Linked DNA regions of Caenorhabditis elegans. Each later gene encodes a partner of the first gene's protein in a complex. Each region holds a gene or a part of one and is shown in the gene's direction. Other genes may lie near its edges.

What was found.
Region 2: the proteins of smg-5 (region 1) and smg-7 are in contact, whole or in part, in a crystal structure (PDB 3ZHE), measured with the Caenorhabditis elegans proteins. Residues at the interface, in NP_491929.1 of Caenorhabditis elegans: Val84 (codon at 3,504), Thr87 (codon at 3,513), Met88 (codon at 3,516), Gly91 (codon at 3,525), Glu92 (codon at 3,528), Gln94 (codon at 3,534), Glu95 (codon at 3,537), Leu97 (codon at 3,543), Ser98 (codon at 3,546), Asn109 (codon at 3,579), His116 (codon at 3,600), Glu123 (codon at 3,621), Ile124 (codon at 3,624), Gln125 (codon at 3,627), Cys127 (codon at 3,633), Leu128 (codon at 3,636), Val130 (codon at 3,642), Gly131 (codon at 3,645), Tyr132 (codon at 3,648), Ser134 (codon at 3,654), Arg135 (codon at 3,657), Asp138 (codon at 3,666), Asp156 (codon at 3,720), Ser350 (codon at 4,454), Thr352 (codon at 4,460), Ser353 (codon at 4,463); in NP_501033.1 of Caenorhabditis elegans: Pro23 (codon at 3,236), Arg27 (codon at 3,248), Met30 (codon at 3,302), Lys31 (codon at 3,305), Val34 (codon at 3,314), Asn73 (codon at 3,431), Asn76 (codon at 3,440), Leu77 (codon at 3,443), Ile79 (codon at 3,449), Gly80 (codon at 3,452), Phe81 (codon at 3,455), Thr83 (codon at 3,461), Asp84 (codon at 3,464), Leu87 (codon at 3,473), Leu88 (codon at 3,476), Tyr91 (codon at 3,485), His92 (codon at 3,488), Lys104 (codon at 3,524), Gln105 (codon at 3,527), Trp108 (codon at 3,536), Thr109 (codon at 3,539), Asp111 (codon at 3,545), Val112 (codon at 3,548), Leu114 (codon at 3,554), Asn115 (codon at 3,557), Lys143 (codon at 3,641), Tyr152 (codon at 3,870).

What each region holds. Positions count from the first base shown.
Region 1 is NC_003279.8:6,732,484-6,739,237, reverse strand, and holds smg-5 (PIN domain-containing protein), read left to right. Parts: upstream 1-3,076; 5' UTR 3,077-3,085; coding exon 3,086-3,198; intron 3,199-3,306; coding exon 3,307-3,415; intron 3,416-3,476; coding exon 3,477-4,026; intron 4,027-4,092; coding exon 4,093-4,283; intron 4,284-4,369; coding exon 4,370-5,056; 3' UTR 5,057-5,209; downstream 5,210-6,754. Other genes in the region: dhod-1 (Dihydroorotate dehydrogenase (quinone), mitochondrial), read right to left, coding at 662-1,057, 1,101-1,705.
Region 2 is NC_003282.8:6,738,779-6,745,599, reverse strand, and holds smg-7 (DNA/RNA-binding domain-containing protein), read left to right. Parts: upstream 1-3,156; 5' UTR 3,157-3,169; coding exon 3,170-3,250; intron 3,251-3,295; coding exon 3,296-3,643; intron 3,644-3,845; coding exon 3,846-3,946; intron 3,947-3,995; coding exon 3,996-4,108; intron 4,109-4,161; coding exon 4,162-4,223; intron 4,224-4,270; coding exon 4,271-4,376; intron 4,377-4,428; coding exon 4,429-4,994; 3' UTR 4,995-5,069; downstream 5,070-6,821. Other genes in the region: lin-45 (Raf homolog serine/threonine-protein kinase), read left to right, coding at 151-365, 411-533, 751-1,009, 1,056-1,152, 1,202-1,613, 2,135-2,362; Y73B6A.3 (TransThyretin-Related family domain), read left to right, coding at 5,318-5,410, 6,504-6,650, 6,693-6,821.

The sequences.
Region 1 (6,754 bases):
TTTTTGAAAAAATTTCAAATTGGTGCCAATTTCACTGATTTTTTGTGAATTTCCAAGCTAAAATTGAAAAATTCAATGTGAACTTGTGACGGTGGGTATGGTTTTTATGCACATAATTTGTTTGAAATACTCTACCGAGTTAACTGGTGAAGTTTCAAAAACTTTATGGGCCTAGTTTTTGAAAAAAGTTCAAAAATGGGCCATTTTTGTCGATTTTAGTGGTTTTCGGAGCTAAAATAGAAAAATTCAATAGGAACTTGTGACGGTGGGTATGAATTTTTTGCACACAATTTGATTAAAGTAGTCTACTGAGTAATCTGGTGAAATTTCAGAAAATTTGTGGATCTAGTTTTTGAAAAAAGTTCAAAAATGTGCCACTTTTGACGTATTTTCCTAATAATTGCCTAATAAATCGAATTTCCACTTTTATTTAGGAAAATAATCGTTGTTATATGTGATTTATTCATTTTAAAAACAATTTTGTATATATTTTTGTAGTTTTATCCATTATAATGTCTCATTCATCGAATTTCAATGATATTAAAAATTTAAATTCAAATTTCGCGCGCTTTGCAGCGGCCATGGCCTAGGATTCTCACTTTTCAATTTTCGCTAGGCCACATGTCCCAATTTACACGCCGTGAGTAGTTATAAAACTCACTTGTATATTTTTCTGACACATTCCGTACTAATTTCTCTAACCGGCGCTCCGCTCAATCCTCCTGTTTCCGTTTTATTCTCTGATCTGAGATAGTCGGGTCGTGCAATTGTGGTATTCGATACAATAATTCCATCGATCGCAAACTTTTTATTCGTCACAACTTGTGCAATGTCTTTTAATTCTGATTCAATTAGATCCGGAGCAATTTTCAGAAAAACTTGAGGCTGCTTTTCCAGCTTGTGCATTTCAAGCGCTTGGTGTACATAGGCCAACAGCTTCTCCAAATCACTTTTCTTTTGCATACTTCTGAGCCCAGGAGTGTTAGGTGATGATACATTGAGAACCAGATAATCACAATGTGGAGCAAAGTAGTTGACACCAATTTCATAATCCAATCTACAAGAACTGAAATTTAAACGTTTTTGCCTTTTTAACTGACTTTGCGTCTTCCGTAAGTTTATTCTTTCCCAAATTGACTCCAAAATATGCATAACTCTCTGGAACCCATGAATCTCTGGCACTTCGTACTCTTTGATGAACTCTTCCAACTCCATCACTATTAAATCCATATCGATTGATAACTCCTTCATCTTCCAATAACCTAAACACGCGTGGTCTATTATTTCCTGGTTGTGGTATTGGTGTTACAGATCCAATTTCAATGAGTCCAAATCCAGAATTCTTGGCCAATTGTGTAATTGCTTGTCCATCTTTATCAAATCCAGCAGCTAACCCGATAGGATTCTTGAATTCTCGTCCAAAAAGCTCACATTTCAGTTCAGGATATTCTTTTCGATTCCATCCGAAACGTGGCAAAAGTCCCCACGAAGCAGCTCGAACCGCCCATCGATGTGAATCTTCTCCATCGACAAATTTGTGTACCATTGGCATTACTGCCTTTTTGTAGAACGTTTCCGAACCATATAGAAGTTCAAGTGCTGTGTAACTGGCAATTCCTGTCGCGAGTACAATTACTGTCGACTTGCTTATTGCACCAGGTGGAAGTTTGGAGTAGATGTATTTTTGTTCGGCATTTTGACTCATTCTTCAGTAGAAATTCAGGATGATTTATTCAAATCAGCAACAAATTTCTCCAGCTGAAAAAAAAAAATTAAAATGATCAATGTGGCTGAGTTTTCTTTTGGAAGTTTTCACTTTTATAAGTAGAAATACAGGTAAAGTATCTTAAAGTTAAAAAAAAAACTTGCCTGCTCTGAAGTGAAATCCAAAACTTGTGTCTCGCCGTCTTCGTAATGGAGTACAAGTTGAAAGAATGGTTGAAAGAGACTGGGAGAAGAGTCGCAGCTAGCAGACGCCTAAATTATTTGGAAATTTGAATTGATAAGCTCGATAACTAATGGTTGAAGGTTATCTTAGATAACAGGGGAATCTAGTACAAAGTATAATAAACTATTTAAATCAAAATGAAATGTTAAAGAGTAGTGTCGTTTTATTTTAAATTACTTTGAAAAAGTTAAGTTGGGAAATGAAAGATTGGCAGAATCTACATTTTTATGAAAGTTTAGGGCAAAAAAATGGCATGAGAACATCTGAAATGTTTGCAGCATGGTGTCTTGGCGGTGGTTGATGATGATAAAAGTGACAAAAAAGATAAGATGCGATGATGAAGTGTCGAGAGAAGAAATGAATGAAAATCGACGCGATAGATCAGAAATCACATTTTGCTTAAACTGCCGAATTTGTTTTTGAACAAATACAACGTTTTTGAAATGAATATTTTCTTTTTTATTCAGTTTATGTCACCTCAATTTTCATTTTGTGCAACTTTTACACGAAAACTTTTTTTTAAAACTTACTCGAATACTGTAGTCGTATGATTTAAGTTTCTTCTTGATAGTTTGATGGTTTTCCGCTCCTAATGACATACAATCTGAAACTTTAAGAATTTAAAATAAGAAATACTATTTAGTTTGAAGATAAAGAAACAAGTGATTTTTAGACATGAGAACAATTTTAATTTCAAGAGGTTTTTCTTTTTTATTGGAAAAATTAATAATTATACAGTTTTTGCGTATATACTTACAACAAATATTATACAGCTATGGAAACAGATTTTTAGCAAATGAAAACACTTGAAAACACAAGATTTATGTCCAATTTTGAACTAAAACGCTGAAATTTAATTCTAAAATCTTTCGAAACACATTTTTTAATTGAATTTTAAGAGAAAATATTTAGAAAATTGGAGAAAAAACATTATATTTCAATAAAAACTGAAGAAAATAAAGAGAAAAATGAACTGAATTGTGGGCGTGGCCAATTTGCAACATAGTGCGCAGTTTCTTCTTGATTTTTTTTTCGCAGTCGTTATTTTGTTTTCCTCTTCCTTTTATATTCAATAACTATTATTATAATTATCCGGTTATCCATCTGTCTTTAATTTATTTTTTTCAGAATATAAATATGCAAAAGTCAGATGAAGTCACTGAAAAGTTCAAACGATATTGTAATCAACTGGAAAAATACGGCCAAACTGAAAATGTGCATTCTCCAGTGATGGCGATGTTGCGCAGAAAGTATGTTTTATTCTGTAACAAAAACTTAAAATACAACAGCTTGAGTCAGAAACTATGAAATTAATAAACGATCTTTAAGTTTAAAATTTAAAGAATTACAATTTTCAGAGGCCGAAAACAGCTCATTGAGATTATGAAACGCGACGGGGACTGTACAAGTTCAATCAATAAATTGTGGATTGTTGGATATTATCACCCTTTCCAGTTTTTTATTCGAGTAAGATTAACTTTTAGTCATTGTATTATTTTTATTTGATTTCCAAAGGTTCTTATTACAGGATAAGGAGAAAAACATGGCAATAGCCGTGTTGCTGACAATGTTCTGTGGAGAGCTTCAAGAAATGCTTTCGCTTCCCGATGACAAATACCCAGCATTGTGGAACATGTACATTGGAGATTTTCATCGTTATATGCCAGACGAAGAAATTCAGAAATGCTTGGCAGTTGGATATTATTCAAGAGCAATCGATCTAGATCCGAATCAAGGAAGAGCTTTCCACGTTCTCGCTGGTCTCCGAGCTGACCTGAATGTTGCACAGAAGCTGAGACTGATGATTTTAGGACAGCTCGCCGATGCTCCATATAAAAAAGGCACTGAACTCTTGGAATATTTGAAATTTCCACAAAAAGAATCCACTGATAAATTGATGGTAGATTTTGTCATTTGGGCATTGAACGAGAAATCAAAACGAATGGATTATCAGATGACTGGAATCAAAATAGTAAACGAGTTTAAAGCAGAAATCGAACAGAAACTCGAATTCGATTGGTCTCTGATCATGTCAACGTGTCGTTTAGCATCTAAATTGGCAATGAAGAAATTTGGATGTAAGTACCGATTCCAATATCTATAGAAAATTCTTATTCTGCTGTAGGATAACATAATTTTTTCAGTTCAACAATTCTACAATTGCTTCGACACAATTTCAACGCTGTATATTACAATTTATTCACGTACGATTTCATCCAAATGCCTTCTAGCTGAAGCTATCTCATGGATTTCCGATTCAGCCGAAATACTCGGACACTTGGATGAGCAGAAAAATGAGCCACATTTCCAGAAGCTATCGGTTTTCGCCAAAACGGTAAGATTTAGAGATAAGAAAATGTAGAATAGATGTTTCAATTTTAAAATCAAGGGGAATTAATTATAAATATAACTTATTTTCAGAAATGGAACGAGCTCAACGACTTGGTTATGAATCATATCAATTCCGTATTCACATCCATGTCACTCACAATCAATCCATCTATTTCTATGACCAGCTTTCTGCTGAATGGTCCAATATCCGAACCCAATGTTGAATTTTTGAGTCAATTAATCAATTATCTGGTTTCCGTCGAATTCCCACCAATGGAGATAATCCACGATAGAGAAGAATCGGGTCCATTGCTACGACGAATTAATCAATCGGAACAAAAACGTTTGGATATTCAAATAAAGACACAAAATGATGAAGTTAACCGGGAGGATTGGAGACCTGTTTATGTATTGATGGATTATGACGTCATAGTTGACAAAATAAGAATTGCTCTAAAAATTTGGGATATCGATGATTTCATCTGCATTTTGCCATCAACAGTGCTTGATGAACTTGATTATCAGAAAACGAAGAATCGAGCAGTTCGTCCAGTAATTCGGGCATTAATGGAGCTTCAAGCAGAGGGAAAAATTGTGCTAAAGAAATGTGATAACGAGAGAAGCTGCGCGGAGCAATTGGTTCAAAGTGCACGAAGATCTGCAGAAGATCACAAGCATATTGTCGCTTTTCTGTGCAAAAACCCGAGTGAACAGAAAGAAATGGAAGGAGTTACTTTTTACGATATCGATCAGTTCTACATGAAGTATTTGGAGTGATGAAAAGAAAGGGCTCTACACTGAAAAATCTCACGATGGCTGGAATTGGAACCGCTTAAAATCATTGAGATCATATTCTTCGGATTTATTTTTGATTTATTTTACTGGATTCAATTATTTGACAATTTTTTGGTAATAAAATTTTCTAATTAACTCTTTTCAAATCATTTCACAATAGTATTAAATTAATAGTAGTACTATGTTCCATTTCGTTCAAATTGAAAATTCCAAGAGCACTCCCACGTATCTAAACAATTATGAATTCTTTTGCCACCCCCGTAAACCATTTAGAAAATTGCATTTTCATTTCACAATCATACCTTTTCGATTCCTATCAGCCTACTATAAATTGATTTTCATGAAGTAAGTAACATTTTCAATTTTTATGCTCCGCAAATCGAAGCTACACATTCCCTGACTGTGAGTATTCTAGAGTACTGTAAGTCTACTATTTTGCTAAACGTGCGAAAACTTCCAGATACCGAATTAGTTCCAGAACATTCACCCTCACTAAAAACTCTAAAATCACCTTAATTTGAATGTTCCTCTGTGTCCCGTCAGACAGTGTCTAGGGCCGATTCTCAGTCAGATAAATAGCGCTCTTCTTTTAGAAACAGGGTGAGAGGAGATTGTATCACTCTCATATCGAGGTCATTCAAATGAAAAGAGGTATACTTTTGTTGATTGAAATACATTTGTGTAAAGTTGAGATGTTTCGATTTGAAAACTTGAGAAAAAAATCTGGTTTTGTTTACTAATTGCGGCTTTTACAGTTTACCATTTACTGCTGTATTGTCTCGTCATGCCACTTAGACACCCAATTTTCAATTGAAGTAGAAATTATATTTCCTTCTTTTTCCAAATCTCACTAAGATTATATCAACTACGAAATCGATACAAAATATCTACATACAAACTGTTTTTCTGGTGAATTCTACCTTACTCCACTCATCTTTCCAAATTTTCAGTGAATGTTATCATATTTCTAAAACTAGGTATGGGAAAACTGAAAATGTGCCCTGAAAAGCAGTGGTCCCCCAATATTTTTTTAAATTAATGTTGGTTTTCGCAACGTCATAGTTGTCAAATAAGTCGGTTTCAAAACTTGAACAAACATTTTCGATTGACTCACACATAAACGGACACAGTAAAGTCAGAGAAAAGTCACAATTTTGATTTTTTTTTGTTTTTTGTATAACAAATACTGTATAAACACTCAAATATTTAAAAGCTTCTTGCGAAAAATTCCCGCATTTATAGTAGATCAATCCGTTATGGTACATCTTGACATATAGTTCTGGAAAATATTTTTTTAATCGAAAACCTACATTGGCCATCGTTTAACCTTGTTGCCCGCCATCTCTTCCACGTTAAAAGTAGCGTTTTGGTGTTATGCTCAATTAAAAAAATGTCAAAAATTGTAAAAAAAAAAACGAGATCGCATTGTATCTACTTTTGAACGACACTATATGTCAAAAGTTTAAAAAGTACTATTAATCGTGATTCACCATGTACATACTACACTCCATCTTAGTGTATTCCATGTTATCAGTTCAAAACCGTCCAAAAATTGACCAACTTGTCCATCACCCAATACAACGTGGCAGCAGTTTCAGTACACTCCCCCTTGTGTCCTATTTACTATATATACGTTTTTCTGGTTTTCACTCATCTAAACCACTTTCTCCTGCTTTTTGT
Region 2 (6,821 bases), on another chromosome or scaffold:
CGATTCGTCAAAAGGTCAGGGAAGAAAAACAAAATTCCAAATTTAAGACGTTTTTCTAAAGTTATAAAAACAATTTTTACTCTATTCCACCTTCAAGAATTTCCCAAACGACTCTAATTATTTTAATTTCACTTATTCTCAATTATTCAGGAGCTCGAATGAATCGTCTTCACCCACTTGTTGACTGTACTCCTCTTGGCTCGAATTCTCCTTCATCTACATGTTCATCACCTCCAGGTGGCTTAATCGGACAACCTACTCTTGGACAATCCCCGAATGTATCAGGATCAACGACGTCATCATTAGTAGCCGCTCATTTGCATACTCTCCCATTAACACCACCACAATCAGCACCTCCTCAGAAGGTAGAATTCAAAAAAATCTATTTTTCTTCAATTAAAAATGTTTAGATTTCACCTGGTTTCTTCCGAAATCGTAGTCGATCGCCAGGCGAACGACTTGATGCACAACGACCCAGGCCGCCACAGAAACCACATCATGAGGATTGGGAAATATTGCCGAATGAATTTATTGTAAGTTTATTCTACATCAGCAAGGGTGCACGGCTTTTGCAAACCGGCAGTTCTACAAAAGGAGCATGTTATCCTAATTTTTTTCATTTAAATTCAGTGATCGAATATAGAAAAAAAACATTTTATTTATCTGAAAATAGCTTTTTTTTTTACAGTTGAAGCAATAAAAAAACGCTCAAAACTTCTGTCAAAACTATTAAAACAAGCATTCTTTTAGATTCAATACAAAGTTGGTTCGGGATCCTTCGGTACCGTCTATCGTGGAGAATTCTTCGGAACTGTTGCTATAAAAAAGCTGAATGTTGTTGATCCGACGCCTTCTCAAATGGCAGCCTTTAAAAATGAAGTTGCAGTTTTAAAGAAAACACGTCATTTGAATGTTTTGCTGTTTATGGGATGGGTTCGAGAACCAGAAATTGCAATTATTACTCAATGGTGTGAAGGATCGAGTTTGTATAGACATATTCATGTTCAAGGTGATCTGAACTGAGATTTTAATTCTTATAATTTAATAATTTTCAGAGCCACGCGTCGAATTTGAAATGGGTGCTATCATTGATATACTGAAGCAAGTGTCTCTTGGAATGAATTATTTACATTCAAAAAATATTATTCATCGGTAACTGACCATATCTATAATTTATGTTTAAATGTTTAAAACATTTCAGTGACTTGAAAACGAACAATATATTCCTTATGGATGACATGTCAACGGTAAAAATTGGAGATTTCGGCTTGGCAACTGTCAAAACGAAATGGACAGTGAACGGAGGTCAACAGCAACAACAACCAACAGGAAGTATTCTCTGGATGGCACCTGAAGTCATCAGAATGCAAGATGATAATCCATATACCCCACAGTCTGATGTGTATTCTTTTGGAATATGCATGTACGAAATTCTATCTTCGCATCTACCATACTCCAACATTAATAATCGAGATCAGATATTGTTTATGGTTGGAAGAGGGTATTTGAGGCCGGATAGATCGAAAATTCGACATGATACGCCGAAGAGCATGCTCAAATTATATGACAATTGCATTATGTTCGATAGAAATGAGCGGCCAGTATTTGGAGAGGTGAGTGGGAAATACCGACTTTAGAAATTTGGTAGAACTATGATTTATTATGGGGTTATTCATGAGTGTCAAAAAACTTTTAAAAAATCGATTTTTTGTACTTTGTACATGTTTCGACAGCGTCGACGAGCGAAAAACTACAGTAAGCCGCCATGCGGCGAGACCATACGTTTTCATATGACTATGTCTCTTCAAAAGTTGTGTAAATTTACGAGCTGGGCGTTCTCCCCGTGTACACCGCGAGGACAATTCGGAATTTATTTTCTTCCAGTACTTCACACATTTTCGCTCTTTTTTTTCACATTTAAAATTGGCAGTTTTGTCTAAATATGGTGGCTTCCTTTGATTTTTCACTCTTTGACGCTGTCGAAAAATGGATAAAAACATGCTTTTAAGAAATCGATGTATTTTTTAAAAACATTTTTTTCGCTCATGAATAACTCCACTACACTGAAAAATCCAAAAAAATATTGTAGTTTGATTTTTAAATAAATTTTAATGAATGAATTCCAATTTTTCAGGTTCTCGAACGACTTCGCGACATAATTCTTCCAAAATTGACTCGTTCTCAATCAGCTCCGAATGTTCTTCACTTAGACTCGCAATATTCGGTGATGGATGCTGTAATGAGAAGCCAAATGCTTTCCTGGTCATATATTCCACCTGCAACTGCAAAAACCCCACAATCAGCAGCAGCAGCGGCCGCTGCTAACAAGAAGGCATACTACAATGTCTATGGTCTCATTTAGTTTTATTTTGTTTTTTTTTTTGAAAATCAAGGGACACTGCAACTTTTTAGTTGATTTTCTCGTCTCTCCCCGAATATGTACCTTTATTTTCTCTCTTTTTTCTATTCTTCCCAGTGATTTTCCCTACCCCATGTGTACACTAACCAAAAAACTTCCAGTCGAAGAATAATCTCGCCCATCGTTATTTTACTAATCATTTCTCGTCACATTGAATCCTGTTCTATTATTCACCCCCTCATCACCCATCCCGATATTATTATTATTATTTTAACCCCGTATTCACCGTTTCCTCCAAAACTTAAAAATCCCACCAAAATACTTTCTTTCCAGTCTAAGTCCGCCTGCAATCGTTCCCCCATGTGAAATTGTGATAATTTTCATATTTTTGTTTCGGCTAAACCGGTAGAACTTTTTCTTTTCCAACTATAATGCTTTTTATTGAAAACGTTTCTTTTGATAAGTTTTCAATGTTCCCACCCCATTTCCGTTTCCAAACATCCCAAAGATTCTCTGTATGTATAGAATTATATAGAATCCAATGCCTATCCGTTTTGTTTTTGTCATTTCGAACACATTTTGAAACTTCCATTTATTTTAATTTCAAAATGCAGCATCCCCATTCCTTTTCTGAACCGGGTTATTTGAATCATTTAATTTTTGCAAACAAAAAAAGTTGAAGATAAAATAATTTTTCGCCTGACTTCCTGTTTCTTCTTTTGAGTGGCTAGAAAAAGTGTAGGATTTCAGATTAATATTTTAAAATTTGAAAAAAAAACAAAACAATTTTGTTCCAGAGGATTCCACAGGATGTCGGACGAATGGGAACAGCTTACTGTAGAGTTGAGAAAAATTCCACGTGGCACCGAAGCTGCACCACAGTATTTGAGAGTAAGATTGAGAGGTGTTGATTTATCGAAATGAGAATAATTCCAGCATTTAATGAAAATGTTTGTCGCTGACTTCGAAACTGCTGTATCCAAAAGATTCGATGTAAAATTCTGGAATAAACTGAAATCAATGATGGATGAAATAACAAAAGCAATGGAAAATGATCGACTTGTTAATCATAATGTTCAAAATCTTGCAATTGGATTTTTGACTGATTTATCACTTCTTGTTCATTATCATTATGAAATTCCAAATTATGGAAACGATATCTCAAAACAATTAACATGGACACCAGATGTATTTCTAAACAGAAAACCTATCAAGTCGAAAAAGAATAGTCGAGTGTTCATGGCTTATGTTCTGTTAAGAATGGGAGATTTAATGAGATATAAGGTAGTTTTGAAATTTTTTCATAATTTTGGAAACAATGATGTCAAAATTTGTTTTTCGTTTTTCGAAGTTGATCCAACATGGACCAAAAGAAAAATCGAAAAAAAACCCGAAATTTTTAATTTTTCGATACCAAAAAATTCTAAAGAGCGAAGGGTGTCGTTTGGGTAGTATTTTAGAAAAATCATATAACATTTATTTTCAGGAGAACTACCCAAAAGCTCAGGAATATTACGAGCAATCATGCCGCATTAATCCAGCTGATGGAGCTGTCTGGAATCAGCTAGGATTGATATCTTCACTTGGGTAATATTCAAAATTCCATAGATTTCAGGAAAAAGTTTACAATTTTCAGTGCAAAAAACCTGGAAAGTGTCTATTTTCATACACGAGCTCTTCATGCCACTATGGAATTCCCAACTGCTTCTGGTGGCTTAACGAATATTTTCAAAAATTTTGCAAATCGAGGTACTGTAGGATTTTCATTGAAAACCTAGATATCAAAATATGTCTGTTTTCAGATATTTCAAGACCAATGCCTATTAAAGATCTATATTTATCCTGCCTAGGAAGAATTCATTTCGTGAGTTTAATTCAGAAAGATGAGTATACAAGGGTTACAGATTTCAGCTTCTAGAAATCGAAGATTCTTCTGTGCACCTACAAAAAATTGGAGAAGAAGCTGCAACTTCAAAAGAAATGATTGTTCCTCTAATGTCTGTATATAAACATCTCGGTTGGTTATTTTTAAATTTTATTTTGTTTTCATTAACATTAAAATTTTTCAGAGGACGGAACTGAACTTGAACAACGAGCCGTAGAGTATGTCAAAACTATTTGGTGTACGGCCTACCGAAGTCTCCTGAAAACTTTGGATGATTATAAGGAGGAATCAAAAAAACTGGCAGATGTTCCACATCTTCTTCATATTCTGGCACTTTTACTCTGTGCACCTAAACTCCTTCGCGGTATTGAAGACCAAACTGAAGATGAAGTAACATCAATTTGCGAATGGCTTCTATGCGCAAATTGTGATGAGAAAATCAAGGATTCTGATGCTTTTGGATATTTTCATTGTCTTCAAAGAATTCAATATCCACTCACTAGAACTCAATTGGCTCAGAAATTAGTTGAAATAGAGGATGAAGATGAATCTAAAGATTCCGATCAATCAACAATACCAGAAGAAGATCAGAAAAGCCTTTCTACAGACACTTCAAGAATTCAAAACGAGGATTCGGAACCTGAATCTGAATCTGAATCTTCGGATGAGGAAGTTTTGCAACGTGGCCGTCGGCGTGGAAGAAATCCGAATCTAGACGAATCAGTCGAAACGGATGAAGATGAATTTTAATGATATCATATTTTCGAGTGTAATTGTGATATAATTCCATTGATTCCAGAACATATTGTCATAATTTTTGGTTTTTTTTCTTTTCATGCTACATAAAAAATTAATATAATTTTGGTCTATTGCAAAAAGAAACGATCTACAACGTTGAAAAGTTCGGATTAATTTCAATGAACGAATAGTTTATTCATGAGGATTATAGTCTAGTAAATTGCAATTTTCACACTTTTTTGTATAATCTCTTCCTTGTTCATTTCCGCCTTCCCACGCCAACCTATAAATGTTGCACGGGGCGAAAGTTTATTCATTCAATTGTTGCGATCATAATGGTTCGAGTTTTACTTGTAGCCATTGCTCTTATTGCATTGATTGTTCAAGTCGACTCCGACTCAATGCCATGGAGAATGATTATGGCGAAGGTTTGTTTGAAATTAGGACACCGTCATTTAGGTGAAACTTGAAATTATGTGCTACATTTTTAATCAATCGCAGTTTTCCCTGTGAAGGAAATTTCTTTTTTTTTTGGAATTCGTAACCTTTATAAACTTAATTTTCTGCACCAAATAACCACAACTCTACAATTTGGCACATGTTACGACCGTTATGAGATTGAGCGTGGCGAGACCTATTCAAAAACTGCGTGTGCCTTTAAACTTGTGTGTCAAAGCTTTGCAAAACAATCATATCAGCAGTGGGGAAAGTGCTTAAAATTACTGATAGGGTCCTAAGGATCATAGGTTAACAATGGCCAAATATCAAAGCATATATTTTTTTTGTTGACAATAAGAATATTTTTGTAGACAAAAAACCATGGTTTTCCTCCAGGTTTATATATTTTATGGTATTTGTAATTACGTATCATTATTTGAACAATACATATTGAGATTCAGTTCACATCATTGCTCGAAATTACTTTAAAAAACGTCTAATTTGTCTTTAAATTAGCACTTTTCCAAAACTTTGACTTAAAAAACTAATACATTGTAGAGTTCTTCATATTCACTGTCGCTGCTGCAAATCGAAATATTCTGTGGCAATCTAATTCCATTTTCACCATTTAAATTCTGATTCGAAACCCGAAAAGCACTGAGAAGCTATGATCAAAATAACAAGATTCCTCTCAAAAAGCACGATTTTAAAAGATGGAAAGATCAGACTAATTCCAAACAAATAAAAAATAGTTTGTTGAAGGATTGCCCTTGTTTACTTCCGAGACTTATATAAAAGTACAAGATACGGAAAGAAAGTTCATTTAGTCATTCAGAAATGATTCGAATTATTACTGTATCTTGTGTATTGATTGTTTTATTTCTCTCTACAATTAACTCAAATTCCATGCCATGCAGACAAGTGTTTGTAAAGGCATGTAGATTAAAAGTTGTAGGAAACATTCTTAATTTCCAAAAGTAATTTTACGATTTTACGACACCAATTTCCCTTTTCCAAAATTAATTTTAATGTTCAAAATTGATGAGGCTTGCAAAATAAAAATTATCGGTTTCACATTTTCAGCCTGGAGATCGAGTGGAAATCGGATATTACAATCCAAAAAACATTACGAGATTTGTGAAGAATGCAAAAGGAGTCGGTCAAGAACACGTTTTCAGAGTTTGTAATGGAAAGAATAAGACAAAATGTGGTTTTTGGGAGAACGTTAAGGTAATTAATTTCATATTTTTCGAAAAAAATCTAAAGCTTCAGACAAAAAAGAAGGTAGAACCAAAAACTACATACAACAAGAAGAAGAATCTATTGATTATTCAAAAAGTGTCAGCACTTGATGCAGGAACTTACAGAACTCCAGAATATGATACAGTTGATCTTTATATT